Linked DNA regions of Sus scrofa. The protein of the gene in region 6 binds, or shares a complex with, the protein of the main gene of each other region. Links are inferred from orthologs where the notes say so. Each region holds a gene or a part of one and is shown on either strand. Other genes may lie near its edges. The genes, in order: PHAX, NELFE, NCBP3, PPARGC1B, NCBP2 and NCBP1.

Region 1 (4,785 bases), on a different chromosome or scaffold from region 6:
GAGGGATAGGAATCAGCTCCACCTACCAGTGGGCGGCATCAGTCCCTCCCATCAGGAAGCCTACAGCAAGCCCTGCCCCCCACCAACTTCAGCCACAAGGGGAGCAGACACCAGAAGGAAGAGAGGCTACAACTCAATTATCTATAATATTCCTCAATGAAGTTGTTTTTTTTTAAAAAAAAGTCATGAATGCTTGATAACACTCCAACATCCTCACTGATTTAAAATCAGTGATGCATTTTTGGGCGTTCCCCCGGTGGAGGAGGCATTAAAGATCCCTGCCCTGGGAACTGGCATAGGACAAAGGCAGGGCAAAAAAAAAAAAAGAGAGACGTGTCTTACTCAAAGAGTTCTATTGCACTAAGTGGAAAAAGTTGCCAAAAAGTTTATAAAAACCTGCAAAATTATTCTATCAGGTCTGTCCAAATTTAAAAACACCCAAATATATGCATATAACCATGTAAGCTCAGTGTTCACGCCTTGAATTTTAAAATCTCAAAAAGGAACACCCATCATCAAGATACTTGGAATCCATGTAATTCCCTACAAATGGAAGAGAGTTGGTCAAGTGCTCACTTGCAGCCAAACGTAAATGCTCACCTGAAAGAAATTTCATCAGCCACTTTCTCTTGAGAATCATCCTCTGTGATCTCATATCGGCCTTTATAGTTCATTTCTAGTCTGTCTCCTAGTCTGTCTTTGACAGGTCGCTTCCTTTTGAGATGACTTTGCCCGTTTTCCTCCTCCTTTGATCCCGTTTTTTGGCCACCGTGCATATATTCATCCAGCTCTTTGTCTAATTCTTTTGTATGTTCTTGAGCTTCCCTCTTAAGTTTCTTAGCAAGCAAGTAATTGTAGGTCTCGGATTGTCGGCTTCTGTCAATAGTGCCCTCCATTCCCAAGATACCAAGTTCAGTGGCCACTGCATCTTGATTCTGTTCCTGCAGCACTGCACCCCATATGTTGTTAACCCTCTTCCCTCCAGCAACAGGTGGTTTCTGGCTGCTCTGGCCAAACTGAAAAGGCTCTGGTTTGGGAGGAATATTGAAGCATTTCTGTCGCTTGCGTTTCCAGAGAGAGCTATCATCATCTGAATCTGAAAAACTCTCTTCACTTGAATCCACACTTTTCACAGTCCGATAATGTGATACCGGCGCACACACTGCTGCAGTACCCGGGAAGGGCCTCACTGCGCAGTCCCCACCTAGTGCTTTCTGCAAGTCAAAGAAAATACAATCAACTCCACAAAACACATTAACTCCACTCACTGTGTGCTACTAAAAAAATTAGAGAGGTGGCTGGACCATTTTGAAGTAGAAATCATCCTCGAAGAGCTCTGAACCAATCTAGTCCTTGCATTTCTAAAGGTCTACAAGTAATTTTCATTTTTAAAGCCACAAATTCTTATTTCTCCATAGCTAATGCAGCACTTAGTTCTAAGGCCTCTTTCTAAAAATTACCAAAGCTCAATTCTCACCTTTAGAAGATTTTTAATCTTCTCAGTTATTGTCAGTATGTCATTTGAAATTGTCTTAGACAGTAATCATAATAGCGGTTAAAACAGAATTTGTTTTCTTTCTTTCCAAAGATGCCTGCCATGCACCTGGACACAGCAATAACTTTATACGGTTTTGTAATTATGCTTCTTTCAGACTAGACAATAAACTCCTCTATGGGTAGAAATTTCTGACAAAATACTTTTAAAACCGCAGAGTTCATGGCATTAGGTTCACTAAGTCATGGGTTAATCTATGCAATATAAACTAAAAGATTGAAAAATAAAAATATCTTGGTACCGATTTTCCTAAGACATTTCTATGCAAAAGCAATCACCTTTACGTTAAACAATTTGTTGAGTTCCTATTATATGCTAGAAGTGGGAGTGGGGAGATTCAGGTCAAGAAAATAAGTCTTTTAATCTTGAAATAATAATGACACTAACCCCGGTCGGCCATTACTCAGGCTCCTCTGAAACCTTACAGCCTATCAGTGCCATACTATTATCATTCCTATTCTAAAGATGGGGCCACCGGCTAAAATACCCATCACCCGGTGGCGGCGCTAGAATTTGAAAGCGGGCAACCAGGCATTTAGAACCACAAGAGCTTGCTACTTAGTAGGGCGGTAAAGACAAACACCTACGTAGAAAACTAGGAAGCTAACACAAAACCTAGTGCCACATTATGGCAAAACGGAGCTTCCATAGTCTTCCATGGGAATATGAAAGACCAGGCCCCTGAGCAGGTGATGAACTTCACCCCAGGTCTTCACTCCCTATCTGCTCAGGGCGAAAAGGAGCGCCAAAAGCTGTTTGCGGACCGATGTCCTCCAGTTCTATACCTTGGGCAAAATCTGCCCGTCTGGGAGAACCTAGTGGCGCCGATGTGGGGAAGCCTGTAGGTTTAGAAAACGCGGAGCGGATCACGCGAGGCGGGGAAGAGATGGTCGTACGCCCGCCTCTCAAGAGGCCGCACACCTCGTGGGCCCCGCCTTGCAAAGAGATGCCGGCGGGGCTCAGAAGGCCCGCTGCCGCCGCCACCCCCGCCGCCGCCCCCCGGGTTCTGCGCGCCGCCGACTCCTCAGCTCCGCGCGCCGGGCCGGAGGACGCCCGCCGGGCCCTCACCCTCCCCGCCAGGCCGGCTCGCGCCGAGGGCCGCCTGCGGCTCCTCGCAGCCAGGGCTCCGCCCTCCCAGCCCAGAGTCACCCGGCCGTCCTCCGCACTCACCGGCACCGGCAGCGGCCTCTCGCTGGGTGCCACCGTCATGTCGGAATCCGAGTCGGAAAGCTGCCCATCTTCCATGTCGCCGGCCTCCTGCGCCATCTTCCCGCGGCGCCGCGCAGCGGGCCGGAGAGCACTTCCGGCGGGGCGGCGGGCGGGTCCGGCGGGCGGCGGCTGCTCGGGCGCCCCCGCGAGGGGGCTGTGGCAGCCCCGGCGGCCGGTGGGGGCTTGGCCCAGACGCCTGGGTCGGGATTCGCAGATGTCGCCTCGTCATTGCACAGCGTTCCCTGGCGCTACTCTGGGAAAATGGAGTGCCCTGCAGCGCCAGCATTCTGGCGCCTTTTCTTCTGACCTGTTTCCTTGTAACCTAAACCTGCGGGCGGATGGCAGCCTTGGGGGATTCCTTCCTCGGCCTCACAACGCTCACCTGGATGCTCTGTGCATGCCTTCCTGCTTCTACTTTTGCTCCTCTGAGATCCACTCTGCGTGGAGCTTCCTGGAGAGCCTTCCAAACGGGAGGTGAGGTCGCCGCCCTGCTCAGACTTTCCAGGGCTTTCCCCCACACGCTGAGTTCACTGCACAGCCAGCAGGGCTGCAGGTGTGTCCCTCAGTCTGGTGTCCCTCCCCAGCGGCTCTTTAGCCACACTGTCGCTGCTCACGCTCTTGTTCCTCAGGCAGCCTTTGTCCTTTCGCCGCCCCAAGGCCTTTGCTGTTGCTGTTCCCTCTGCCTGGCAGAGGCTCAAACATCCCGACACCCTATTCTTACCTAGGTTATGCTCTCAGATGATTCAGAATTCTGATAAAATAACACCGGTTTTTCTTTTCTTTTTTTCTTTTTTAAATGAGAGTGCAACATTTCAGGTTCTCTCTTGGTTTTTTTGTTCGTTTTTCTTTTTTGCCACCCAGGCAGTTGTGGGAATTCCAGGGCCAGGGATAGAACCTACAACCACACAGCTGCAATCAGAGCCACAGTGGTGAGAACACAAGTGCCTCAACCCGCTAGACAATCGGAGAACTCCCTGCCACCTTTGTTCTTTGTAATTTTATTGTAGTTGACTTACAATGTTGTATTAGTTTCAGGTGCACAACAAATAAATGCCACCTTTTAATAAAAGGTGTTCTTTGACCACCCTCGCTAAAATAGAGTCCTCTACTGTCATTCTCAGCCTCTTTTTTTTTTTTCCTTCATGGCATCAATTGCCATGTGTATTTTTCTTTCTCGTCTGAGTTCCACTAAAATGTCTGCTTTATTCACTATTTTTCCCACCTATGTCCAGTCAGGTGACTTCCTGTATATAAAGATGGTCAAGAAATATTCATTGAATTTTTTTTTTTTTTTTTTGCATGAAGAGGATCTTATTTGTACCCTTTACTATTCTTTATTTTTTTTATTTTTATGGTCAGGCCTGCAGCATATGGAAGCCCCTCCCCAACCCCGCAACCCCCCCCTCAAAAAAAAATATATATATATAGCAGCTTATTCTGGACTTATTCTATATCAAAATATAAAGATCTACCCCCTCCCCCCCTTTTGCCTGTGCTGGAGGCATATGAGTCCCATGGTTAGAGATTGAATCTGAGCCTGCTCTGAGCCTGCTCGGCAGCCTACACCACAGCTGTGGTAACACTGGATCCTTAACCTGCTGCACCACAACAGGCACTCATTTAGCTCCCTAGATGACTCCCTAGTTTTCCATTGCATGCAGGTAGCATCATTTATTTAGTCTCTGATGGAGTATGTAGGTTTAAGGTGTAGCCAGTTTTGCAATTAACATGTCTTTTTACAGACTTATTTTATTATTTCCTTAGGATATGTCTCTAGATTCTATGGAAAAGATTTAATTCGATTTTTGAAATGTGAATTTAAAAGCTGTGAAGGAATTTTGAAATTATCCGGTCCAATTTATTTTGACAGGTTACACAGCTAAAGTGTTGAAGATTTAAGTCTTGACACCAGGTCTTCTAATTCTTAGGTAACTTTATTATTTTATCTTTTTGCATAGAATTACAATCCCTCTGGAATTGATTTTTGTGTATGATGTGAAGTAAAAGTACATTTTCATGCT
Region 2 (4,940 bases), on a different chromosome or scaffold from region 6:
CAGGACCTGAGGCAAGAGATCAGAGCGCCAGTGAGGCTGAGTTGGCCTCTGACAACCCCCCGCTCCGGCCGCCACCCCCCCACCCCACCCCCCCCACTTCCCAACTCTGCTTCTTGTGGCCCCTGACCTCTTACCTCCTTGTAGCCTAGTATCTGGCCTGTGGTTGGGTGTCTTTGGGCCTGCAGGTCGGAGGGGACTGGGGCCCCCAGTGCGGCCAGGAGAGACCAGGGATCCATCTTCCTCTGCCATTTTCTGGACAGAAAGAAATTTTCAGCTCTTTCTCCTCTGTCTCAACTTCCTTCAGGAACCCATTTCCCCTAGTCCAGGCCCCTCTAGACTCCTCACCGGGCTGAGTGCTCCACACCATGCAGAGGCAGCCAGGCTGGAGAGGACAGAAACAACTGTTCTGCTTCTTGCTGCAGATCTGGGGCACAGGGTGGGAGGCCGTGGGGAAGCTGGAACAGGGCAAGACGAGAGGCATGAGGCAAGGAAAGAGAGTAAGACACAGACAAAAGAGATGGTGACGGGCTTCATGTTTAGATCAGAAATGGTAGGTGTCCCATACAGGCTAGGACAATTAGGCTGAAGCAATAGTTTCCAAAGGTTGTCCTACTTTATAGGAAAAACTGACCTGCAACTGAATTATCTGGAGAGCTGTTTAATAATATAGATTTTGGATTAAAGAATTTCTGGAGATGGACCTAAGAATTTCTAATTTAGGAAAGCTCCCCCTCTAATCATGAGGCACACAGATTCTGATAATCACTAGTTTTAGGAAAAGGAGCCCCAGACCTAAGGATGAAAAACCGAAGGTGCTCAAGGGCTGACCTATCAGCCACCAACAAGTGCCCTGGTGCTTGGAGACAGAAGAAGATGCCAGGGAGAAAAGACCCACTGGAAAGAGCAGTTCTCAGAGCTAAAGTTATCCCCAGGGCTCCCTGCTCTGTCTTCTCATGGGCTCTGACGCACTGCAGGTCGACTGGGTTGGGATCCATCCCGCACCAGTCCAAAGCTGGGATGACAGGTGTCCAGAGACAGGTGAGCCAGGTCAGGTTAGACCCTACTGTGAGAAGGCTGAAAGGGGTTTTAAGCCCTATTAATAAGGGTCAAGGTTAGGTTAGAGCTAAAAGTCACTCACGGTGCTCTCTGGAGCCCCAGGCACATTCAGCAGCTCCCAGCGCCCGGTACATCCTAGCTCCAAGGCGCGGAGGGGCAGATCCAGGGGATCTGGGGTAGGCAGCACTATGGGAGGAAAATCACAGGTCAGGGGTCAAGGGTCATTCCCTGTCTCCTCCTCCTTCCCACCTTCTGCCCCCTCACCGAGTCGCTCCGTCTCCATCATCCTGGAGCCACGGTAGCTGCCGGGCAGCCCGGAAGTGTAGGGAGGAGCCGAAACCCGCGGAACTAGCGGCGACTTCCGGAACACACCCCGCTGGGGGCGGGGACGAGCACTACCGAGGGGCGGAACCCAAGCTGGTGGGAGGCCGGACGGAAGTGTGCGCGCCGCGAGCCGCCTTGGTTACCGCGGTCTCCGCCCCTCGCTACGTCATCGCTCCGAGCCAGCGATCCGCTGCCCGCGCGGGCGCCGCCCGAGACCGTGGGGCTCCGGTTGCCGCCCCCTCAGGTAAGGCCTTCTCCGTCTCACCCTTCGCCCCTTTTTTCCGAGCTCCTTCTCTCTTCTTGCCCTGTTCGTTGCTCTGAGAGCGCTGCGCGGGTTCCACTGCCTCCTCTGCTTTTCGGACCCTGCGAATGCCATACTAACCCCAGCGAGGTAGGGGGGGTCTGGTGCCATCGTCTTCGCGACGGAGGGGGTGTTTCTCCCTTCCTGGGCTACGTGGTGCCCCAAGGCGCTGGTATCCGTGATTCCCGGAGAGAGAAGGGAATGCTGGTTGATCCCGACGAGCGGGGGCTTGGACGGCAGCTGGTTTAAGCAAGGGGTAGGGAGAGGCAAAAGACAGGAGTAGGCAGGCCTGGAGGGGTGGGATTGGGTGCAGTGTGGACGGCGTGTGACCCCTGGGCGGTGACAGTGGAGAAAGATGTCTTGGGCCCTGCCCCTGAACCAGGAGCCACCATGTTGGTGATACCCCCCGGACTGAGCGAGGAGGAGGAGGCTCTGCAGAAGAAATTCAACAAACTCAAGAAAAAGGTGAGGGAGTGTGTGTGGGCATGGCCCAAACTTTCAAAGACTCTACACTGAGAACACCTGGGGTGAGTGTGAGGGGATGGGGGGGTGGGGGTTCTTCTAGCTCATACCTAGAGACATGGCACCTCTCAGTGTCCCTTCATGGGTGGACTTTCTCAAGGTGGATACTTGCTTTTCTCTCTTTTCTGTATAGTCTGCCATGGAGGTGTCTTCCTTTCCTCCGGCTTTTAGTACCACCTAAGAACTGGTGATCCCAGGCTTGGTTTTTTTTAGTTCCATCTGTATCTTGCCAATAACCTTCATATATTGCCGCTCTGGTCTTACCTATTCTAATCTTGGTCTTCCAAATAGGACTGACTCCATTCACTTCTCCCGCTGTTTGGAATCCAGATCTCGTCTCTGTCTTATTTGCGTAGCCAAATGTTTGCCGAGTCGTCTTGATTCCTCCTTTGAAGTAACTTCTTCTGTTTACTCCTTCCTGTGTATTCTCGCAGTCAGGCCTTTGCTGATGCTCACCTAGACTGTTGTAATCGTCTCTCAGCAAGTTTCTTTTTTCGACAGACTTTTTTACTTCTATTAAAATGGTGCTTTGAAAACAGAAAACACTGTCCTTCTTTTTCTCAAAAGCCAGTGGTTTCACATTGTCTATAAAAGAGCCTTAATTTGGCAGCCCTTCCTCGTCAAATAGAACTATTCCTGGGAGTTCCCGTCGTGGCGCAGTGGTTAACGAATCCAACTAGGAACCATGAGGTTTCGGGTTCGGTCCCTGCCCTTGCTCAGTGGGTTAACGATCCGGCGTTGCCGTGAGCTGTGGTGTAGGTTGCAGACGCGGCTCGGATCCTGCGTTGCTGTGGCTCAGGCGTAGGCCGGTGGCTACAGCTCCGACTCAACCCCTAGCCTGGGAACCTCCATATGCCGAGGGAGCGGCCCAAGAAATAGCAACAACAACAACAACAACAACAAAAAGACAAAAAAAAAAAAAAAAAAAAAGAACTATTCCTTAATCCCAAAACACACACACATACACACACACACACACACACACACACACACACACACACCCAGAGTCTTATCTCTGCATCTTTGCCGCCTTGTTTTCTTTGTCTAAAATGCCTTTTCTTTTCTGTATGTTATTGTAGATTCTATCCAGGGCTCAGTTTAATGTGGGCATCAGGAAGGTCTTACTTGCTCTCAGCTATAGTCTACACTTCTTTAATCAGTCTTGACAATTTAGTCTGGTCATCTTATTTCTCAAACTCTAAGCTTCTTGAGGGGAGGATTTCCGTCTCATACTTCTGCATAGACCTGTTACAGAAATTCCTAGTGATGCTCTTTCTGATTAAACGTTTAGGGGGCGGACAGGTGAAGCCCCCAAGAAGGCATGGAGACTTACACTTAATTGCAGCTTGTATCTGCAGACTCTGGTCTATGATTAAACCCCTTGTCTTCGACTTGAGAAACGTGAGACTCTGGAAAGCCTCTGGATACTGTGGTTTGAATAGATTAGGTGTTGTTAGCATTGTAGATGCTCTGGGGGACCATATGTGAGAGGCAGGGCTGCCTCAGTGTGCCACTCTAGGGGCACCATTTGCATTATTTTCTCTGAGAAAGTTGTCCCCTGGAGTGATGTGCCCAGGGGCCTTGGGAGAGGACCTGGGCAGGGACTGGCCCTCACTGACCCCTCTCTTCTCACTCTCATTCCCAGAAAAAGGCATTGCTGGCTCTGAAGAAGCAAAGCAGCAGCAGCACTGCCAGCCAAGGTGGTGTCAAACGCTGTGAGTGACAGGGGAAGTGGGGATAGACCGGAAGTGAGGAGCCCAGGCCGACCTCTGTCACAGCCTGGCCAACACAAAGCCTCTTTCCCCCGCCACTCCAGCTCTGTCAGAGCAGCCCGTGGTGGACACGGCCACAGCAACTGAGCAAGCAAAGCAGCTGGTGAAGTCAGGAGCCATCAGTGCCATCAAGGCCGAGACCAAGAACTCGGGCTTCAAACGTTCTCGAACTCTAGAGGGGAAGTTAAAGGTGAGCACAGGGAGAAAGATGGTTCAGGGCATCCGTGACTTCAGAGGGATCCTGCCAAGTTGGAACAGAGGTAGGTTTAGGGGGAAAGTAATGCTGGTTCAGTCCTGGGCAATTGCTCTGCCATTCTGAGCTTCAGGTTTCTTACCTCGAAAATGAAGGAGCTAGATGACTCCTAGATTCTTCTTTATTTTACACTTTCTTTGGCTCTAATCCACCTCATACTCTGAGAAGTTGAATCGAGATAGAAATGTCATCAGATCCAAGACTTTTTTTTTTTTGCCCACATCCATGGCATGTGGAAATTTCCAAGCTAAGGATCGAACCTATGCCACATGGCCCAAGCTACAGCAGTGACAACACTAGATCCTTAACCGTTAGGCCACCAGGGAACTCCAGAACATTCTTAGATAACTTACATGCTTTAAGTGTGTATTAAGTTATTTATGAAAAAAAAACACATAGTCAAATAAGAAACATATAAAAGAGTTAAAAGAAAAAAAGACAGGCCGGGGGAGCCAAGAAGTGGAGGAGGGAAAAGGAAGCCCCTCTGTCCCAGGGTTAGGCAGCCTCCTGCTCTTGCACTGAGGCAGGTTTCTACCCCCTTCCCAGGACCCTGAGAAGGGGCCAGTCCCCACTTTCCAGCCGTTCCAGCGGAGTATATCTGCCGACGACGATCTACAGGAGGTAATGGTTTCCAGTGTTGTGTCTCTCAGGGGCTGGGGGTTGAGAAAAATGACAAACCCACATATTGGGCTCTATGCCAGCAACTAGAATC
Region 3 (4,312 bases), on a different chromosome or scaffold from region 6:
CCCACACTAGGGTCCTGGAAGGGTGAGCTGGCAGCTTCCCTCATCTTCCCCCTCGAAGGCTGTCCAATAAGCACCTGGGAATTGACTTTTCTTGGAAAAGGGTGCTGGGAACAGCTGTCAGGGCCAAGGCAATAGTGAGAAGTTCAGTTCTCTGCTCTTTGGATGAACTGTGTAAAACATTTCTTTTAAAAGACACAATGTTAAAAATATTAAGAAAAATGTCTACAAAATCTGGAGGGCTGCCTTTTCCTCAAAGGGTAAAGCTTGTGGGGCGGCGGGAAAAGAACCGAGGGCCCAGAACTATAACATCTGCAGCAAAAGATGAGAGAGATGCCCTTCAAAACACGTCACATTCTTAGGATGTCCTGCTGATGGAGCAAGAGCGGGTGTGACTGTGTAAGACGAAGGGCGCCAATGCCCGCAGGCAGGGGTCCCCCTGCGCGCCCCACCCAGCGCAAGGACGGCAGGCTTTGGGGCAGCTGCCTTGGCTCCAACGGCATCATGACTCTGCCTCTGAACCAGAGCTGCTTTCCCGACTAACTTCAATCTGGAGAGATGGTAAGTTATCTAACCGGCTCTTCTTTTGGCGAGACTGTTCTTTCTCCTTAATCAGAGCCCCCCACGCCCTCTGCAGCTCCGAGTCATCCTCCTCAGTGCCGGGCGTCCTGTGATCCACTTTCTTCGTGTTCTTTTCTTTGGTCTTGGTTGCAGATCCTAAGCGAGTCCATAAACTACCTGTTTGGGTGAGAAGGCATTTCAGCTCTGGTAGTCGATGCTGAGAAACAGGGCTACTGTCAACACCTGACATGCAAGAAACACGGGGGGATCTGTGGCACTTGCAACCACGATGCAGACCTGGGCAGACGGCCTCATTTCTCTGGTGCGGTGTAGACCGAGGGGACTGGACCCAGCAGGAGACTCTCACGGCTTGCGGATATGTGCTTCCCACGCTAGCCACACAGAATCGCCTGGGAGCCTGCTTATGCTACACCTGCCCTCTCCCGGGGAGACTCCCCATGCTGTGCACAACTTCATTCTGCCAGGAGTGGGCCATTCCAGATCATTCCCAGGTAAGACTTTGGGCAAACTGACAGGCCTGCATGCTCTCTGTAAACTTTCAGATTCTGACCACTCTTCATTACTTTTTTTTTAATTTTATTTTGTTCTGTTCTTTATCACTTTATTTATTTGGGCCACACCTGTGGCATGCTGAAGTTCCCAGGCCAGGGATCAAACCCGCACTACAGTAGTGACTAGAGCCACAGTGGTGACAAAGCTGGATCCTTTACCCACGGAGCCAATAGGGAACTCCATTATTTAAAAAATATTGATATTTAATAGAGAAATACATGTTTTGAATTCCATAGGATAGTCACACTCTAAGACAATTTAAAGTTTTACTTGTAAAGACAACAACAATGTGGAAAAATGACTATGATAAGATGATACAGGAGTTTCAGTTGTGGCGCAGCAGAAATGAATCTGACTAGTATCCCCGAGGATTCGGTTTGATCCCTGGCCTCGCTCAGTGGGTCAGGGATCCGGTGTTGCCGTGAGCTGTGGTGTAGGATGACAGCTGATTCCACCCCCTAGCCTGGAAACATCTATATGCCATGGGTGTGGCCTTAAAAAACAAAAATAAATAAATAAATAAATAGCTTAAAAAAATGCCGCAGGAACAGAGCAGGACATGTATACAGGCAAAGACTGGAATAGCATCTATGAAACCATGCGCTAAATAGAAAGAATCAGGGGTGGGTTTTCTTTTTCTCCATTTTCTGTATTTCCCATTGTTATCATTACGATGATGGCGTGGATGACAATGATTATAACGGAAGAGGAAAAATAATTTATTCTTGTCTTACGCTCTTTCCTGCCTTCTGACAGCGAGTGTTTCCACGCTCGCCCTCGGTGTCTCTGCCCTGACCCAACTCCCACGCCCATCACTTTCAAGTGTTTACCAACCTGATTTCTTCTCCCGAGTATCCGAGTAGAGGCCTTTAACGTCTTGCCTGGGAACGCCGAGCCTACTATGGACATCAGAAAAGGGCTCTCTCCGAACGACCGGATTACTACTAAAAGGCTTTTCTGGAGAATATGGTCTTTTTCCTAATCGCTGGCGTATATCTACAAAAAGAAAACACAAAGTACTACGGTGGCCACAGGCGTATGCGTTGCTGTCTGTACTCACCCCGAGGTCTCTACAGGTCCTGGTGCAAATCTCCCCGAGTAAAGGCATGGGACCCGACACAACCAAGCTTCTAAGAGCCTTCCCTCTTCACAGTCAGCCTGGACCCACCCCCCCAGCAAAACTCGAATGAGAACCCCCAGGGGCTCAAATAGGGAAAAAAATCTAGGCCAACTGCTCCAGAAAGGAATTTCTGAGACAGAATAGACTGCTTTCTGTGTGTGTGTTTGTTTTTTAAAAGTAGAATCAAGCATGGAATTCCTGTCGTGGCTTAGCGGTTAACCAACCAAACTGGTATCCATGAAGACATGGGTTCGATCCCTGGCCTTGCTTAGTGGGTTAAGGATCCGGCGTTAGGTCAAAGAAGAGACTCAGATCCCACGTTGCGGGCAGCTGTAGCTCCCATTCGACCCCTATCCTGGGAATCTCCACATGCCATGGGTGCGGCCCTAAAAAGACAAAAAAACAAATAAATAAGTAAAGTAGAATTAAGCAGAGCAAATAGTTTATAAACATTTCAACTAACAACAAATACTGCGAGCTCCCTCAGGGTGGAAGCTGCAGTCTTTAAACATATAAGAAGTTCTCAATAAAACTATTACATTTTACAATAAATGTAATGAGCCTGACAAAAAGCAAAGGATCAAAGGAGTATGTCCCAAATGAGATTGGTTTGTCTTGTAACCACTGCCTCCCACCCCCGCCTTCGGTCCAGGAAATCTGCCTGTCCCCTGAGCTCCCTCTCACAGGAACAGCACAACAAAAAGGCAGACAGGAGTGGCTGTGCTGGCCTTTCACTCATCCTGCTCTCTGAGAACAGCGTCCCCGTCTGCCAGCTGCTCAGGCCTGAGCCCCTTGGCTTCTCTCCCTTTCCTGCCACACCTCCCAGGGCCGAGTCGTCTTCCTTGACACGGTGTGCCGTTCCCATCAATCCTGTCCCCACTGTCCCTGACCTAGGTCAGGCCCTTGCTTCTTACTTAACTCTCTATTGCACCCTACCCTGCCACCAAGTTCTTTCTGCAACAGAGAGAACATCATGTTACCACCCACCTCAAAAAAATCAGGTTGGCCAACTGAGAGCCTACGTCCTCTGCAAGGCCTCGCTCTACAGCCACGACCTCTGAGAAGCCTCCCGCAGGAGATCTTCCCCCAGGTGGCCGACCGCCCCTCTCTGCTCCCACAGGCCACCGCTTACAGTGTCCCCCCCTCTGCTCTGGGTGTAATTATCCGAATGGGGGCTCTACTGCTTTCCATCTGCGTTCTGATGATGAGTTCGCACCCCCTGCAGAACTCTGACGCTCCTGGCACCTGGCCCTGGCACACAGCGAGCAGGGCCGAGGATTCACTATAAGCCTGTTTGCACATATAAACTAACCAGTTCAAATGCTTAACCATTTACACCGCAACCCAACTTAATTTCTACTGTCCTTATGTATAAAGTACACCAATGACATACAGGGTAGAATAACTGTTTGGGACAAAAATATTGAAAGCCAGTACTGCAAAGGTCTGATTAAATTTCACGTCCTAAAATCCCAATGCGTAACCTAAAATTTAGAAGTGATTAACAGCACAACTAAACTGGTCCACAAATTATAACATTTTATCCAAGAATCTATCCCTGCCCCGAATTCCTTTCTGGAACTCAGAATGAAGTCCAGAAACACAACGGAACAATACCTGTTTTAGTATTGCTGCTTGGTGGCCGTGGACGTGTGTGCTGACGTTTTTCATCTAACAAATGTCGGACATCCGCAAATTTCTCAGGCGGTAATTTGTTACCAATTCGGTTTTTTATATTGCTTGTGGATAGAGTGTCTGCCCTCATGGAGTTCCTTGAAAAAAAAAAAAGGGCGGGGGAGGGGCCCTCGTAAACCAACTCGGCTGTGGAATGACACGAACACGACAACCCACACACGGTGGAAGAAACCTCATCCGATACGGCCGACATTCACTTACAAACACCGCACACCACTGACTATTCGCTTACAAAAGTCACGATGAGCCTGCTGTAAAGAGGCCGGCTGGCGTGAGCAGATCCCTGAGTTTTCCGGAGTGGTTTCCACACGCGGTATCTGTGAGCGTCCACAGAGCAGGTAACCGCGAGTCCCCTTCTCCTGAGAC
Region 4 (4,312 bases), on a different chromosome or scaffold from region 6:
CGCCAGCGAGTCAGACCCACAAGTCCTCTGGGGTTGATTCTGCTTCATGGTGTGGATGCCCCAGCTCTCAGGCTGCAGGCTCGGCTGGGATTCAGCTGAACCCGAGGCCGGGGGTGGGGCTCCCGGGTGTCCACGCAGAGGGACCGCGCTGTCACGCCTCCCCCGCCCTCAGCACGCAGACGGCATCAGCTCGAAGAAACCACAGCAGCCACAAGCACAGGCTTGAGGTGAGAAAGATTTCCTATCCCGCCCCTCTCCCTGCATCGGACCTGGGGACGCAGCCTGTGCGGCCCGGAGGCACCCTCCCTTCCTGCCCCCGGAAAGGCCCGGCTCTCTGCGGGGTGCGCTCCACACCCAAGGCTTCGAGGGCGCCCAGCCGATGCAGACACCTGACTGCTGCTATGTCGCAAAGCTGTGCTGGGGGGACATGGGGTGACGGGGTCAGGGAGCGGGGGCCTCAGCTGCTCTCCAGCCGCTCACGCTCCACCGCCGTGATGCATTTTCCTTGGGTAACCAGAGCCCTGGAGAGGGATCCGATCCAGCCTCGTGGCGGCTGAGGAAGGAGATGGAAGAATTCCACTCAGCAGCTGAAAATACTGCCCGGCCCAGGACGACGGTACAGGCTTCCTCGTGGGGGCGCTACCCACACAGTCTACTGCAGGCTTTCAGGGCAAGTCACAGGTACACATGACGGCGAGCAAACGCTAGCACAGACAGCCACACCGAGACGGCTGCCAGTGGCAGCTGCTCCCTCGGGCCACCCCTTCGTCTGGGGACAAAGGCCATGGTTGCCGAGCTTTCCTTGGAGTCTCCTTGGTGAGGGAGACTCAGCACCGAGTAAGTCTTCCAGATGGAGGCTGGCCGCAGGCCCGGGCCGTGGCAGAGCCTTTCATGCACAGACGACGGGAAGAAGCCGCTCTGTGCCCGCGGCCGGCGCCCTCCCCTAGCAGCGGCCCCGGCCGGCCGTGACCTTGGGCTCCTCCCATCCCAGCGCGACCTCAGATCTCTGCTCTGCTCAAGGCCAAAGTCTAACTACCTGCGATGCTCGTCCCTCCCTGAAAATCCGCATCCTTCACCCTCCACTGCCATCTAGCCGCGCTGCCATCAGGACGAGCCAGCGCGGGGCAGAGGTCATGCGCTCCGTCTCCTTGTGACACACAGAGGCTCCACGAGCGGAAGGGACACCGCGAGCCACAACGTCACAGAGGCAGCTCTTGGTGGAGCCAGGACTCAACCCAGCTCTCCAGACCCTGCGTGTAACTGCGTCCCCATGAGCTTCCACGCGACAAAGACTCAGTTTACTGCCGATGCAGAGCAGACCTTAAGGGGGCATCGGGTGGACTGAAGTTCTAGTCCACAGCCATTTATTGTACGCCTACTGGATGCTAGGCAGTGAGCAGCTGGAACAGGAATTGAGAGTGCTCAGCCCGTGCCGTGGAAAGCCCCCTCTGGTCCATCCCGACAAACTGACAAACGCTGCCTTCCCAAACTTGCTTATGGCCACTCTCCCACCTGGCTCCCATCCCCGGGTGGGGTTACGTGGCAGAGTAGTGCTGGGAGTCCTGGGCCAAGGAATGGCTTCAAAGGAACTTTCTCCCACAGATCAGGATGTGACAGAGAGGAATGGGCCAGCATGACACCCGGCCACCGTATGGCTCTGTAAGACAGGCACCTTTCAAAGATCAGACCAGGACGTGAAAGAGGCGGAACTGCAGACCAATCAGGGACGGCTGCTCAGAGCACAGAGCCGAGGTCCCAACAGCATGAGCAAGCTCAAAGAACGCGAGGCCTGGGGCCGACTGGTTATGTCTGCCACTGGCAAGGATGTGGGAGTGGAGGTACGTGTGCCACGTGGGACGCTCAGCTGTCAGAGCCGGCAGGGCTAGTTGTCCCCGCCTCCGCGCATCGCACAGCAAAGAAAACTGGGGCCCAGAGGGGCTGTGGTTTGATGCACAGGAACTCAAACTCCCCTTCCAGGCCGGTCTCCTCCACCTCCTCGGGGGGCCTGGCGTATCAGCCCAGTGAAGCTACTGAGGTATTTTATAATCTTAAAAAGCAACCAAAAAAGCCCCATAACGACCAATTCTCAAAGAACGAGGCCCGGTATTAATAATGGATTAAATCAGCTAGTTTTTGTTTAATGAGTCAGTTCAAACTCTAAAGAAAAGCGGCAGGACCGTTCTGCTTCTTTCTTGGACACACAAAAGCTTCCCGAGGAAGCTGGGCGTGAAAGAGATGCACCTGGAGCCGCTCTGTCTGAAGCAGAGAAACACGCTCGCTTGGCCTGCCCCAAGGCGACCCCCAAGGCACCCACGGGACACCCCGGACGCGGCTTCGACGTCACTCAAGAACACGAACCTTCAGTCAAGCCCAACAGACCGTCCGGGAATCAGCTTGGAGACTGTCTTATCACCCACCCCGTGCCCCCTGCCCCCAAACAACGACCCGTGTGAGCAGGGGTGAAGCCAGGCTTGCTCCCAGATCTGTCCGCGTCACGCCCACGGCGTCACTGAAGCCCTGGTGGCGGGTCCACAGCTGGAGGCGGACGGCAGGACCCTTTGGATCAAGGCTGGTGCCGGAGCCTGAACTCGCCCCGTGCTGACGAGACCGCCGTTGACGGACGCCCCAGGGTGAGCCTGCAGGCGTCTCGCCTGTGGTCCTCTTTGGCCGCCCCAGCTCTGCCAGGCCCTGCAACCCCGCTTCTTCACTCCAGCTACTGAGGGAGGCTGGGACCAGCGATCGGGAGGCCTGGGCTCCTGGGCCGGGCCAGTGCTCTGTAATCTCACTGGTCGGGGGACCCCGGGGCAAAAGTCACCAGCCTCCTGCCTCACCCCCCTCTTCCCTAAGATCCCGAGGATCCGAGCCCTCAGGGCCAGGCACAAGTTCTCAGCGAGAGCCGGGCACCAGACGAGGGCTCTGATTCTACGCGGACCCGGGCTCGCTCAACGAGACGCGAGGCAGGGCCCGCAGGAGAGGCCCTGAAACCCCTCCCGGGCTCCTGGGCTGGCTGCACGCCACACTCCCCGGCGACCAGCCCTCCGGCCCCCCAGCACCTCTGGGGCCCTCTGGCCAAGGGAGCAGGGCAGCTGAGTGGCAAACATCTCACGACAGTGCGTAGTTAAAAATCAAGGAAGCAACAGGACGATCCCAGGCACAGGACACCTGAGCCATAAACACATCACTTAAAGGATATACTTTTGTTTTCTTCAATTAAAAATGAGTTTATAATCCTGATTCTATTCACGAGTAACGACTTCGTCACGCACTACAGACGGAAACGCATGGCGGACACAGCTGCACGTCTAGGAGGGGCCGTCGGTCAGGAGGCGAGGGCATCCCGGACAGCCCGTGGGAAGCGAGGACGCTGATGTGGCAGTGGAGCGTGCACACCGTGGAAACTCACACAGAAGCAGCTTTGTTCAATGTAAACATTGATTATTCTTTTAAAAGGACAGCAGTTCCCCGTGTCTCTCTCTCTCTCTCTCTCGCTCGCTCGCTCTCTCGCTCGCTCTCGCTCCGTCTCATGTCCTTAATTTCTCTGAAAGCGTAAACAGGTTGGAAGGGCCCATCTGAGGTATTGAGGTTTTCCTCGAGGTTAAGGCTGTTGTCAGTGCAGGCTCTGCTGGGCCTCCCTCAGCAAGCTGTCGAAATCCATGGCTTCGTACTTGGTTTTCACGGATGCAGGCGGGGCCTCTTCCGAGTTGGCATCTGGGCGGGGGTGGAGGAGCCGGTGAGCGACAGAGAGTGGCCGGCAACACCTGCCACCAGGGCCAGCCTCACGGAGCGGACGCGGCCAGGGAACTCGGGGCACCTGGCAGCGGGTGCGGACTCCGCCATCCTGCCGGGGGCCCTGCGCCGTGTCACGGGCGAGTCAGGGCCGCGGCCGCCCCGCTGGCAGGATGGAGAGAGGCCGCACCAGGGCCCACAGAGCTCCTCTCCGGCCCGATATCCTCCGCACCCCCCCCCCCTTCCTGCCCATTGGCAAAACGCCTCGGAGGACACAGAAGGCAGCCCCCGCCCCCCATGAAGCTGAGATGCCCTGTCGCGTGGCTGTGGAACTGGGTCCCCGGGGCGGACACGCGGTCAGGGGGAGCCAGGCCTGGCTGGAGCCCCCAGGACTCCCGACACTCAGGCCTGTGCTACGGACGTGACATCAGACCCCTCCCACAGAGAGCTCGTTCCAAAAGGGTGCTTCGCCTTCTTCGCCGACTTGTCCCCACAAGAGGAGAAGGCGCGGGGACAAGGCCGCTGCACTGCAGCCCATGAAAGGACCCGGGGCAGGGTCCCGCAGGATCCCGAGCGGCCAGGGGGG
Region 5 (4,355 bases), on a different chromosome or scaffold from region 6:
CCCACTCACTATTCTCTGGATCTGGGTATAAGAGCAACAGAATGTTAGCAGTCCTCAGCCCAACCCCAGCCCTCAACATAAACAAGCACACTCGCAGCTGGGTCTTGACCGGCAGAGACAAAAAGAAGAGTGCAGGGACCAATGACGCTTCTGGGCAAACTGGCCATTTTGTAGGAAAGGAAGGCAGGCAAGAGAAGGAACAGTTGTTTACTTTTTGTGGAAGAAGAGTGTAGGAACCAAGTTCCCTCCATTTTGGTAGGAGTCAGAGCAGAAAGAAAACTGGGTCCTTTTTGCTCCATCGGGTTTGGATGCCTCCCCTCTTCGTTAGAGAAGCGTCCAGTGTCTGTAGTCAGCGGCTTGTCATCCCACCAGTTACCCTATTACTAAAGAAACCAAATTCTTCCCACCATTCCCCATGGCAACCATCTCCCAGCATGCCTTCCAGGCTCTTCTAACCTTTGCCAGAAAATGAAGCAGGGAAGCAACTCATTCCACTATCCTGCAGGGCAGTTCCTAATCACCCCTTGATGCCACACAAGTCTCGATACCAACACTTTACAGACAAATTTGTTAGAGCTCAGACCACTACAATCTGGAAGAGCTGTTACACCAACAGCACCTCCAGGGAATTCTGAGGTCGTGAACCCAACTGGGGGAGGGAAGAGACAGAAGTCCCAAGAAGCCCAGAGGAATTTGAAACAGAGTCTGGGGGATCTCCAGGTTGCACTTGGCTTTTAAATGTTGGGCAGAAAGGCCTTCTTTGGCTGCAAAGTAAACAAGTGCTTATCAGGTGCCAGAGATGATGCTAAGCACTACAGGTGAGACAAATCCGAAGTTGCTAGCAGAAACGTGAACCACAAGAACAATGAATTATCCTGAACGGGTACTAAAGAGGGAAATATCCACAAGTGTGGTCCTTGGCGTCTCCTCCCAGCTTAGTTCAGTAACATCATTTTAGTAGTTAACAATTGGCCATGGTGAGCGTGTTACACCACAGAAATCACAAACGCTGCAGATCAGGGCTGTTTTGCCCCCAGAGAACACTGACCAGCATGGCACTGACTTTCTTTCCCTTGGAGTCCCAAGGAAGGTGTGGCACTAGAACCCTAGCAGTAGCTGCAGAGCAGCCCGCCTAGGAGGGCCTTTAAGATGACCCAAGACTTTAGCTAGCAAAAGGCAGACTTAGAAAAGCACTCAGGTTTGGTCACTTGCACAAGTGTGTCTCCTGCCTGTGCTCCTCCAGCGTCCTCCTCTCGGCCTGGTTGCCTCTTGTTCTCATGAGATGGCGGGAGAACGAGAACAAGCTTAGTGCCACCACTTCTCACATTCCCAGCGGGCTGTGTTTTGGGGAGCGATGTGCCCAGGTGTGATGGCTTCTACCAGGCAGCAGGCGTGGATTTGGTATGGACTTCGCTCTCCGTCCTGTGAAGGGGCTTCAGACAGGGGCTGGGGGCTTGGAGAGGGACCAGACCACGTTTAAGGTTTTGTGCTCAAGCACCACCAGATACTGAGCCTTATGTCTTCATTCCCACTGGGGCCGACCCAGGAGGGAGAACATCTGGGCTCCCTGATCCCCAAAGGAGATACAGAAATGTCCTACCACCTCTTTCTGGGACACGAGTAAGAAGAGAGTTGCAGGAGTGGGCGGCCAGGGGCGTTCCAGAACTACTCATTTTGGTAATAAGTACTGAGACAGCAGGCACCGAAGTGCAGTTAGATACACCACACCCACTTCTCTGCTTAGAGCTTTGGGAGAGACATGCCCATCTAGCCAGGGGATGTGCGCTGCAGGCCCAGGAACAACACAGTGTTGGGGGGCAGACACCTCAAAGACCCTCTGATCCACTGTAGAGATGAAAACTGAGGCTGGGTGAGGGGAAGGGGCTGTCTTACCATGTAGCCAGCAAGAGCAGACCAGGGCCTGCAACCAGGTCCGCCGCTCTTTACATCACCATGCTGCCTCCTTCCAGGAGAAAGAGGCCAAAGGGCTGTCATGACAGCAAGAGCTAAGGCATCCTAGGGGGGCTGGGAGAAGTCATTCAGGACGTCATTAGGAGATTGCTGTCTCCTTTCACAACCAGGTGCTATTTACGTATTTCAACATCACAGTGACTGGAAGGGGTAGGGCAGGAACAGACATTTGGCATTATTGATTATACCAGGTTCTTTGGGGCCCTTGGCATCAGGACTGTGACTGGTCCTCTCTTTGGTCTTTGAGGGAAATGGGGTATCAGTTTCCCCAGAAGGCGGAGTGGTCAGAGGCTGTGCATAGGAGAGGCAATGGTGGGAATTCTGGAAGGGAAAGGAAAGGAGGAGAATCAGGGCTCTGTCCCAGCCCAGCCACCCAGGTAGGAGGTGGAGAGACGCCTTTACCTATGGCTGAGTCCCAGCCAGTGGATCTGCTGTCATATTGTCAGGCTGCTCCCCGAGCTCCAGGATGTGAAGGCTCAGATGTTCCCTCCAAGCCCCACTCAGCAGGGAGGACAGGGCTGGTGGGTCTTCCAGGGTCAAGTGGGGAAAGATGAGCGCCTCATTCTTGAGGGGGAAGCTGCACTTCTTCACCGCAGGCCTGGTGGTGCCAGGGGTCACCACAAAAAGGCGGCAGAGCCATGGCCCACCCGCCACCTGGCAGGCTGGTTGTCTGGTGAAGTTGTTCAGGGCTTGACACAGGAGCCAGTCCTCACTGCCAGCCATGTCCACCACCTCCACTGGTGACCCCAGCCCGGGGAGGTGGAGGAGGTGCCGGGGGGGCATGTAGGTGTGGGTGAAGAGGAGTGTGTAGCGGGTGGACACATGCGGGAGCACAGGGGCATGAACCACCCGCTCCAGGTGCCCCAGGCCAGGCACGAGGCCGCCCTGGTGCAGGCAGCCAAAGAAGAGGGCCCCTAGGGCATTGAAGAGAGCGAGGGTGCCCTTGCAGGGTGCAGGCTGGGTCTGTGGACTACAAAGCAGGACCAGGGGGACCAGGAGGGGAATCAGGAACCGAGCCTCCTGGTGGCTAAAGGCAGACAGCAGGGCCAGGGGTGTGAAGTAGATGAGCAGGAGGTGAGACCTGGACTGCAGGCGCCAGGCATCCAGTGCTCTTAGGAAGCCCACCCTTGCGAAGGCCTGGAGGCAGGCTCGCAGCTGTCGCCACGCAGCCTGCAGGGCATGGGCGTGCAGCACCCCAAAGAGCAGGAAGCCATTGACTGCCAGGTGAGTGAGCTGCATGTGTGTGCCATGCCTCGCCAGGTTTACAGGGTCCAGGTTGTAACGCAGGAAGTTGGCAGGTGTAAGGATCAGGGTTCTGGGTCTCGATGGACTGGAGAAATACCAGCTGTCCACAGCCACAAACACTGCTGCCGTGAGGGCCGCCCCTGGGAGCAGCACCAGGGCTTCCTTGGTCAGCGACCTGAAGCTGGGGCTTGTAGGTCCGTAAGTACCCCAGAGGAAGAGGGGGACCAGAGCAAAGGCCAGAAAGGTGGGCCGGTTGAAGAAGCCAGCAGCCACAATGCCCCCAAGAAGCCAGCTGTGCCACCACGGGCCTGGAGCAGGCTTCTCAGGTGTGGGGCTCCCAGCTACACGGGGGGATACCAGCACCAGCAGCCACGCAAAAAGCAGTCCCTCGATGGCATTGGAGAAGGTCCTTGTGTAAAAGACCAGGGTGACGTAGGAACCAGATAGCAGGACCAGGGCGCTCCAGCGCTCCGCCCCCCAGCGTGGGGCCAGGTGGTACACGGCCACGTCCAGGGCAAAGGAGAGGGTGGTGAGGAGGAGCCGGGGCCCCACCAGCAGCACATAGCCACTCACTGGGCCAGGCCAAGGCCCCCACTCTTCCCAGAGCCTGAGCAGCCAGAAGGCAGAACCAGAGGTCAGCAGTGGGAAGACAACTGTGCGGCAGGGGCTGCTGGGCTGAAACTCCCAGGGCCGTGCAGCCTCTATGCCCAGGATGTCCTCTGCAGAGAGAGAAGCAGAGGTGAGCCAGGTCCAAGCTCAGAGAATATGGAAGACAAAATTCTAGGGTGGCCCCCAAGATTCCCCAGCCCCACTGTGTACATGCCCCACACAATCCCTGGGACCATGAAGATGACAGATTTTACTCCTTTGATTAGGGTATGTTGCAGGCGACAGCTGACCCTAAGATAGGAAGATCACCTGGATGGCCAGATGGCCTTGACAAATCACAGCTTTCCTTTATTTATTTATAATTTTTTTTTGTCTTGTTGCTATTTCTTGGGCCGCTCCCGCAGCATATGGAGGTTCCCAGGCTAGGGGTCGAGTCGGAACTGTAGCCGCCAGCCTATGCCAGAGCCACAGCAACACGGGATCCGAGCTGCGTCTGCAGCCTACACCACAGCTCACGGCAATGCCGGATC
Region 6 (4,312 bases):
ATATCTATTCTTCAATGAAATCCTATGGACACTAATTAAAAGGGCTTAAAGAAAATATCTGGCTCATTCAGAGTATTTTTAGATACCTTAGTTTTAATCTTACCAGAATGGATCATTTAACTAAAATACAGATGTCATGAGAACCCACCATTAAGCCAGCTGACCTAATTTTTAGATATTAAGTTTTTTTGCTATAGGTGCAGCATGTGGAAGTTCCCAGGCTAAGGGTCGAATCAGAGCTGCAGCTGCCGGCCTACACCACAGCTCATGGCAACTTCAGATCCTCAACCCACCAAGTGAGGCCAGGGATGGAATCTGAATCCTCATGGATGCTAGTGGGGTTTGTTTCCGCTAAGCCACAATGGGAACTCCTAGATGTTAAGAATTTATAATGTGATAACCTGCCGTGAATCTTTTGGGTTTTTTTAATTACTAAAGGGTGAAAAATTCGTGGTACTGTATGGATAAGATTCCATACTAAAGAGAAAATACCTGGTACTGTATGGACAAGAAGCAGCATAAGGGGTCTTCTTACCTGAGGCACATCTTCTTCCTGAGTAACACTTACAAAATTTTCAAACATAGCAACCATTGATGGAGCAGCAATGACATGACAATTCACAAGATCAGATAAAAAACGGACCTGTTGGGTAAAACAATTTCTATTAAATGTAAATGCCCTTTATAGTAATTATAAAACAAGCAATTGCGTAAAGGTTGAAACCACAGGTCTGAAAAACTATAGCCCAAGGGCCAAATCTAGCCCAATGCCTATTTTTAAGCAGCCTGTGAACTAAGAGTAGTTTTTAGATATTTAAATGCTAGAAAAAGACCCAAAAGAATATTCTGATTCACACAAGTTACAAAAGTAAATTTCAGTGTCCACAAATCAACTTTTACACAGCCATGCTCATCTATTTACATACTATCTGCAGCTGCTTTTATGTTCTAATAGCAGAGCTGAGTAGCTGTGATAGACTACAGGAGGGACAGGAGTCTGTGCATTGATAGCTTCACATTTATACTGGAATAAGAACCTAAACTGTAATATTCTAGCTACTACAACTTTTGCTGTTTGGCTGTGAAGGAAATTTTCACTGGACAACAGAAATGGAAATTCATGAAAAGATATTTATTGGGTGTCCTTTGTGTGCCACTGCTGAGCATATTAGAGTCTCTGTCATATGGGGGCTAATAGTCTAGTGGGACAAGCCAAATCTCAACGCAAAAGGATGAATCCTATACTAAAGGATAAATTAAAAAGTGCTCTAGAAACAGAGATACAGAGAGAGGGGAAAACATCTTAAGGGAGTAACAATCCATCTAGGTCATACAGAATGAGTAAAGTTGTCCTCCAGCGGGGAGCAAGGAGAGGGTCTAGGCAGAGAAGTTCAAAAACATGGTGCAGGGACCTGCAAATATTCTGATACAGCTGGAGGATATATGGGAGGCAAACAGAAACAGACTAGTGCAACCACTGAGGGTCAGGCTTAATGAAGAATCTGAACTTCACCTTATAGCCTGATGGGTGTCTAAATTCTTTTGTGTACTCAACAGAAAAGAATCTGATCACATACTTCCAACATATATATTATATATTTTATAATATACACTGGCCCATTGTCAATCTATGTATACAACTAATAAGGCTTAATTCCATTTCCATTTAAGATAAATAAGAGTTCTAACAGTTACTTCCTGCATCATCTTGTTCATGGCTTTGAAAACCATCCTCTGTAGACAATGGGAAGGAATTGAGGTTTTTAACACGTAACCAATACGAACAGAACCTTGTTACAGAAAGACCACTCTGGTGTCACTGTAGAAGATAAAGTGAAAGGTAGAGAATCTGGATGTAAAAAGATCAGTTAAGAGGCTACTGAGACATGAGGAGGAAGGCATGAACTATATTAGAGGCCCTGGAGACAACGGAGAAGGGACTGACTGGAGGAAGAACTCTAGACAGGACTTGGGGACTGCTCGGAGTAAGAGGGGGCAAAGGCAAGACAAAAACGAATGCTCCGGCTTCTCGATGGACTATCCAGTAACTAGCAGCCATTTGTGCAGGTTGGGGTGAGGACAGAGGAAAGAAGATATGAATAATTCATTAATTCAGGGAATTCCAGGCAAGATACCTTAGGGCTATCCAGGTAGTATTTGGAACATAGGTCTGGAGTTCAAGAGAAAGGTTGAAGTGAAGATACAGATTACAGATTTGGGGTGTGTGGGTGTGTGTGGGTGTCCTCAACATAAAGGTAGTTTATGAAGCTATGAGAGAGAATGAGAATGCTTTAGGAAAGAGTATTTGGAAGAAAATGCAGTGAGGACAGCATCCTAGGGAAGACAAAAATTTAAGGGACAAAGGAAGCTGCTCCAGTAAAAGGAGACTGAGAAAAAGAAGGTACGTAGCAGCACGAGGTCCTGAAAAAGGAGGTGCTGCAAAAACCGAGACTAAGAAAGCAGTACAAAGCATCACATGCTGCAGGAAGGTCAACCAAGATTTAGAGTGAAAAAAAGTCACTGGACTTGGTAAAATGAGCTCTGTACCTTTAATGAGAATGGTTTCAAAAGGGCAGCTGTTGTGGTGAGTGGGGAACTGTATTTCAAGAGAAAAGATAAATTATTTGGTTGTAGCTCACCTCTTCCCTCCATTCCAACACTAACATATCATATCAAAAAAGCCTCCCAAACCGAAAAACTTACCAGATATACAGCTTCATTATAATTGTTTGCTTTCAACGATTCTTTAAGTTGACGAATCATGGCTTCTACAAATTCTCCACCAAAGTTGTAATTCCTGGCATTCAGCAGTCCAACTAGTGTTGTATAAATTGTCAACTTCTCAGGTAACAGACGTGCACTAATTTGAGAACCCAGAACAACAAGAAGATCCCAAAACAATAGCATTAAGTTTCTGAATTTTACATTATATAAATTTTATCATTTTTATAATTTTAGAAAAGCATCACATTTAGCTATATTTTAAAAACTACTTCAGAAAAGGCATAAATATTGAATAGAGTTGCAGATATGGCCCCCTCAAATTTTTCATTTTAATTCTAGTTAATCCACAAGTTAAGAAAGTTAAACACTCTTAATTGTGAAGTCATCAAACTAAAGATATAACTAATGTTAGACTAGTTTTTCTTCCAATGTGCTTAGTGGAACTGAATAGCAGTTCTACAGAAAATGGTCTCTATGGTAAAATACCTGGAAATTGCTGTGAAACAAGTTTCCTCAATGCAGAATCAATAAGGGGGAGAGAGAGCATACAAAATTTCTAAACTTCGCAGACCAACTGTCATGGGATCAGAATTCCACTTTGAGAAATACTACTCTAGTTGCTTAGAAAAAATTCAGAACTAAACCCAGTTTCTATCAGTTAAATTATTGAATTTCTAACATGGTACCCAATGTAGTAAGATGTCTTTACATCCCAGTTTGCTTACTTAAGTGTTAATTTTCATTAAAGTTATGTGAAAAATAGAGAAGAGGATTATAGTCATACTTCAGAAAAAGGTAATGTTGACCCCTAATTTAGGCAGTCTTCAGAAATTAGCTCAAAAAGAAAAGCAAATATGAATTCATGATCATTCAGAATCTCCTACACTTTGTGTTTTCCCAAAGTTCCTAGCATGAGTATTAAGGACAATTTAGGTTTAAAAAAAAAATAACTTGCATTAATAGTAACCATTCAATCTTTACCCTTCCCCACCTCAGTCATGGCTTCCCTTAGAGTTTAAGCATAAATATACTCCATTCAAATAAATGCTTTCAGAACAGAAGGAATCTAAGCATAACTACAGTAAAGTAATTCTTCTTAGTAGTTTTCTAGCCTAAGGACATGTTTTACTGAATACTGACTGGATTCTTTCAAAAAATTGTATCTGAGGAGTTCCCGTTGTGACTCAGTGGTTAATGAATCCGACTACTATACATGAGGATGAAGGTTCCATCCCTGGCGTTGCTCAATGGGTTAAGGATCCAGCGTTGCCATGACCTGTGGTGTAGGTGATAGATGCTGCTCAGATCCCATGTTGCTGTGGTATAGGCTGGCAGCTACAGCTGTGATTCGACCCCTATCCTGGGAATCCATATGCCACATATCTAGCCCTAAAAAGACAAAAAAGACAAAAAAAAAAAAAAAAAAAGGTAAAATCCACTGCTAGTTTCAATTCGTGTGTACATTTTTAAATTAAAATTGAGCTGTAAGCAATGGAAAAAACAAAACAAAAGCACATTATTTAAGAACAACTGAAATAACAACTTAAGCCACCTTCATAATGAAGACTTCTTTATCCAGAAGTCATAG

Evidence for each region.
Region 1: the proteins of NCBP1 (region 6) and PHAX are in contact, whole or in part, in a cryo-EM structure (PDB 8PNT), measured with the Homo sapiens proteins. The link is inferred for Sus scrofa from reciprocal best matches to the Homo sapiens genes NCBP1 and PHAX. Residues at the interface, in NP_002477.1 of Homo sapiens: Cys380, Lys381, Pro384, Pro388, Gln389, Leu391, Ala392, Thr395, Phe417, His420, Leu421, Asn423, Phe424, Gln425, Arg427, Trp428, Ser429, Asp432; in NP_115553.2 of Homo sapiens: Ile114, Asn115, Asn116, Ile117, Trp118, Gly119, Val121, Leu122, Glu124, Gln125.
Region 2: the proteins of NCBP1 (region 6) and NELFE are in contact, whole or in part, in a crystal structure (PDB 5OOB), measured with the Homo sapiens proteins. The link is inferred for Sus scrofa from reciprocal best matches to the Homo sapiens genes NCBP1 and NELFE. Residues at the interface, in NP_002477.1 of Homo sapiens: Tyr461, Lys511, Lys557, Ser558, Ser560, His561, Ser564, Lys568, Ile609, Arg610, Gln612, Cys616, Lys647, Met648, His651, Glu705; in NP_002895.3 of Homo sapiens: Arg362, Ile365, Val366, Tyr367, Ser368, Asp370, Val371, Tyr372, Gly379, Phe380.
Region 3: the proteins of NCBP1 (region 6) and NCBP3 are in contact, whole or in part, in a cryo-EM structure (PDB 8BY6), measured with the Homo sapiens proteins. The link is inferred for Sus scrofa from reciprocal best matches to the Homo sapiens genes NCBP1 and NCBP3. Residues at the interface, in NP_002477.1 of Homo sapiens: Lys330, Ile377, Glu378, Cys380, Lys381, Pro384, Pro388, Gln389, Ala392, His420, Asn423, Phe424, Gln425, Arg427, Trp428, Ser429, Glu431, Asp432; in NP_001107590.1 of Homo sapiens: Glu572, Asp574, Glu576, Leu577, Gln578, Ala580, Trp581, Gly582, Leu584, Ile585, Lys588, Glu589, Arg592.
Region 4: the proteins of NCBP1 (region 6) and PPARGC1B are in contact, whole or in part, in a crystal structure (PDB 6D0Y), measured with the Homo sapiens proteins. The link is inferred for Sus scrofa from reciprocal best matches to the Homo sapiens genes NCBP1 and PPARGC1B. Residues at the interface, in NP_002477.1 of Homo sapiens: Glu26, Asp29, His30, Ser33, Leu34, Lys37, Val38, Lys41, Ser42, Ala43, Cys44, Asn49, Gly52, Leu53, Val56; in NP_573570.3 of Homo sapiens: Tyr1006, Glu1007, Ala1008, Met1009, Asp1010, Phe1011, Asp1012, Leu1014, Leu1015, Lys1016, Glu1017, Ala1018, Gln1019.
Region 5: the proteins of NCBP1 (region 6) and NCBP2 are in contact, whole or in part, in a crystal structure (PDB 5OOB), measured with the Homo sapiens proteins. The link is inferred for Sus scrofa from reciprocal best matches to the Homo sapiens genes NCBP1 and NCBP2. Residues at the interface, in NP_002477.1 of Homo sapiens: Glu32, Cys36, Leu71, Thr74, Val75, Arg77, Leu78, Leu79, Ser324, His325, Trp326, Lys327, Glu328, Arg329, Lys330, Ile368, Val370, Met371, Thr374, Glu378, Asn415, His419, Ser422, Asn423, Gln425, Lys455, Arg458, Leu459, Ser460, Tyr461; in NP_031388.2 of Homo sapiens: Gly4, Leu5, Leu6, Lys7, Leu9, Arg10, Ser11, Asp12, Ser13, Tyr14, Glu53, Glu54, Gln55, Tyr57, Glu58, Leu59, Lys62, Ser63, Asp65, Lys67, Ile69, Tyr89, Asn96, Arg99, Tyr100, Asn102, Gly103, Thr104, Arg105, Leu106.

The regions. Positions count from the first base shown.
Region 1 is NC_010444.4:129,711,873-129,716,657, reverse strand, and holds the start of PHAX (phosphorylated adapter RNA export protein), read right to left. Parts: upstream 3,016-4,785; 5' UTR 2,822-3,015; coding exon 2,726-2,821; intron 1,215-2,725; coding exon 601-1,214; intron 1-600. UniProt on the Homo sapiens protein: A phosphoprotein adapter involved in the XPO1-mediated U snRNA export from the nucleus.
Region 2 is NC_010449.5:24,043,509-24,048,448, reverse strand, and holds the start of NELFE (negative elongation factor E), read left to right. Parts: upstream 1-1,516; 5' UTR 1,517-1,624; intron 1,625-2,063; 5' UTR 2,064-2,071; coding exon 2,072-2,146; intron 2,147-3,848; coding exon 3,849-3,918; intron 3,919-4,019; coding exon 4,020-4,165; intron 4,166-4,774; coding exon 4,775-4,849; intron 4,850-4,940. UniProt on the Homo sapiens protein: Essential component of the NELF complex, a complex that negatively regulates the elongation of transcription by RNA polymerase II.
Region 3 is NC_010454.4:49,887,209-49,891,520, forward strand, and holds part of NCBP3 (nuclear cap-binding protein subunit 3), read right to left. Parts: intron 4,024-4,312; coding exon 3,869-4,023; intron 2,128-3,868; coding exon 1,966-2,127; intron 736-1,965; coding exon 500-735; 3' UTR 1-499. UniProt on the Homo sapiens protein: Associates with NCBP1/CBP80 to form an alternative cap-binding complex (CBC) which plays a key role in mRNA export. NCBP3 serves as adapter protein linking the capped RNAs (m7GpppG-capped RNA) to NCBP1/CBP80.
Region 4 is NC_010444.4:150,917,176-150,921,487, reverse strand, and holds part of PPARGC1B (peroxisome proliferator-activated receptor gamma coactivator 1-beta), read right to left. Parts: intron 3,709-4,312; coding exon 3,608-3,708; 3' UTR 1-3,607. UniProt on the Homo sapiens protein: Plays a role of stimulator of transcription factors and nuclear receptors activities. Activates transcriptional activity of estrogen receptor alpha, nuclear respiratory factor 1 (NRF1) and glucocorticoid receptor in the presence of glucocorticoids.
Region 5 is NC_010455.5:133,176,103-133,180,457, reverse strand, and holds the start of NCBP2 (nuclear cap-binding protein subunit 2), read right to left. Parts: upstream 2,293-4,355; 5' UTR 1-2,292. Other genes in the region: PIGZ (GPI mannosyltransferase 4), read right to left, coding at 2,374-3,935. UniProt on the Homo sapiens protein: Component of the cap-binding complex (CBC), which binds co-transcriptionally to the 5' cap of pre-mRNAs and is involved in various processes such as pre-mRNA splicing, translation regulation, nonsense-mediated mRNA decay, RNA-mediated gene silencing (RNAi) by microRNAs (miRNAs) and mRNA export.
Region 6 is NC_010443.5:239,502,238-239,506,549, reverse strand, and holds part of NCBP1 (nuclear cap-binding protein subunit 1), read right to left. Parts: intron 2,861-4,312; coding exon 2,704-2,860; intron 644-2,703; coding exon 536-643; intron 1-535. UniProt on the Homo sapiens protein: Component of the cap-binding complex (CBC), which binds cotranscriptionally to the 5'-cap of pre-mRNAs and is involved in various processes such as pre-mRNA splicing, translation regulation, nonsense-mediated mRNA decay, RNA-mediated gene silencing (RNAi) by microRNAs (miRNAs) and mRNA export.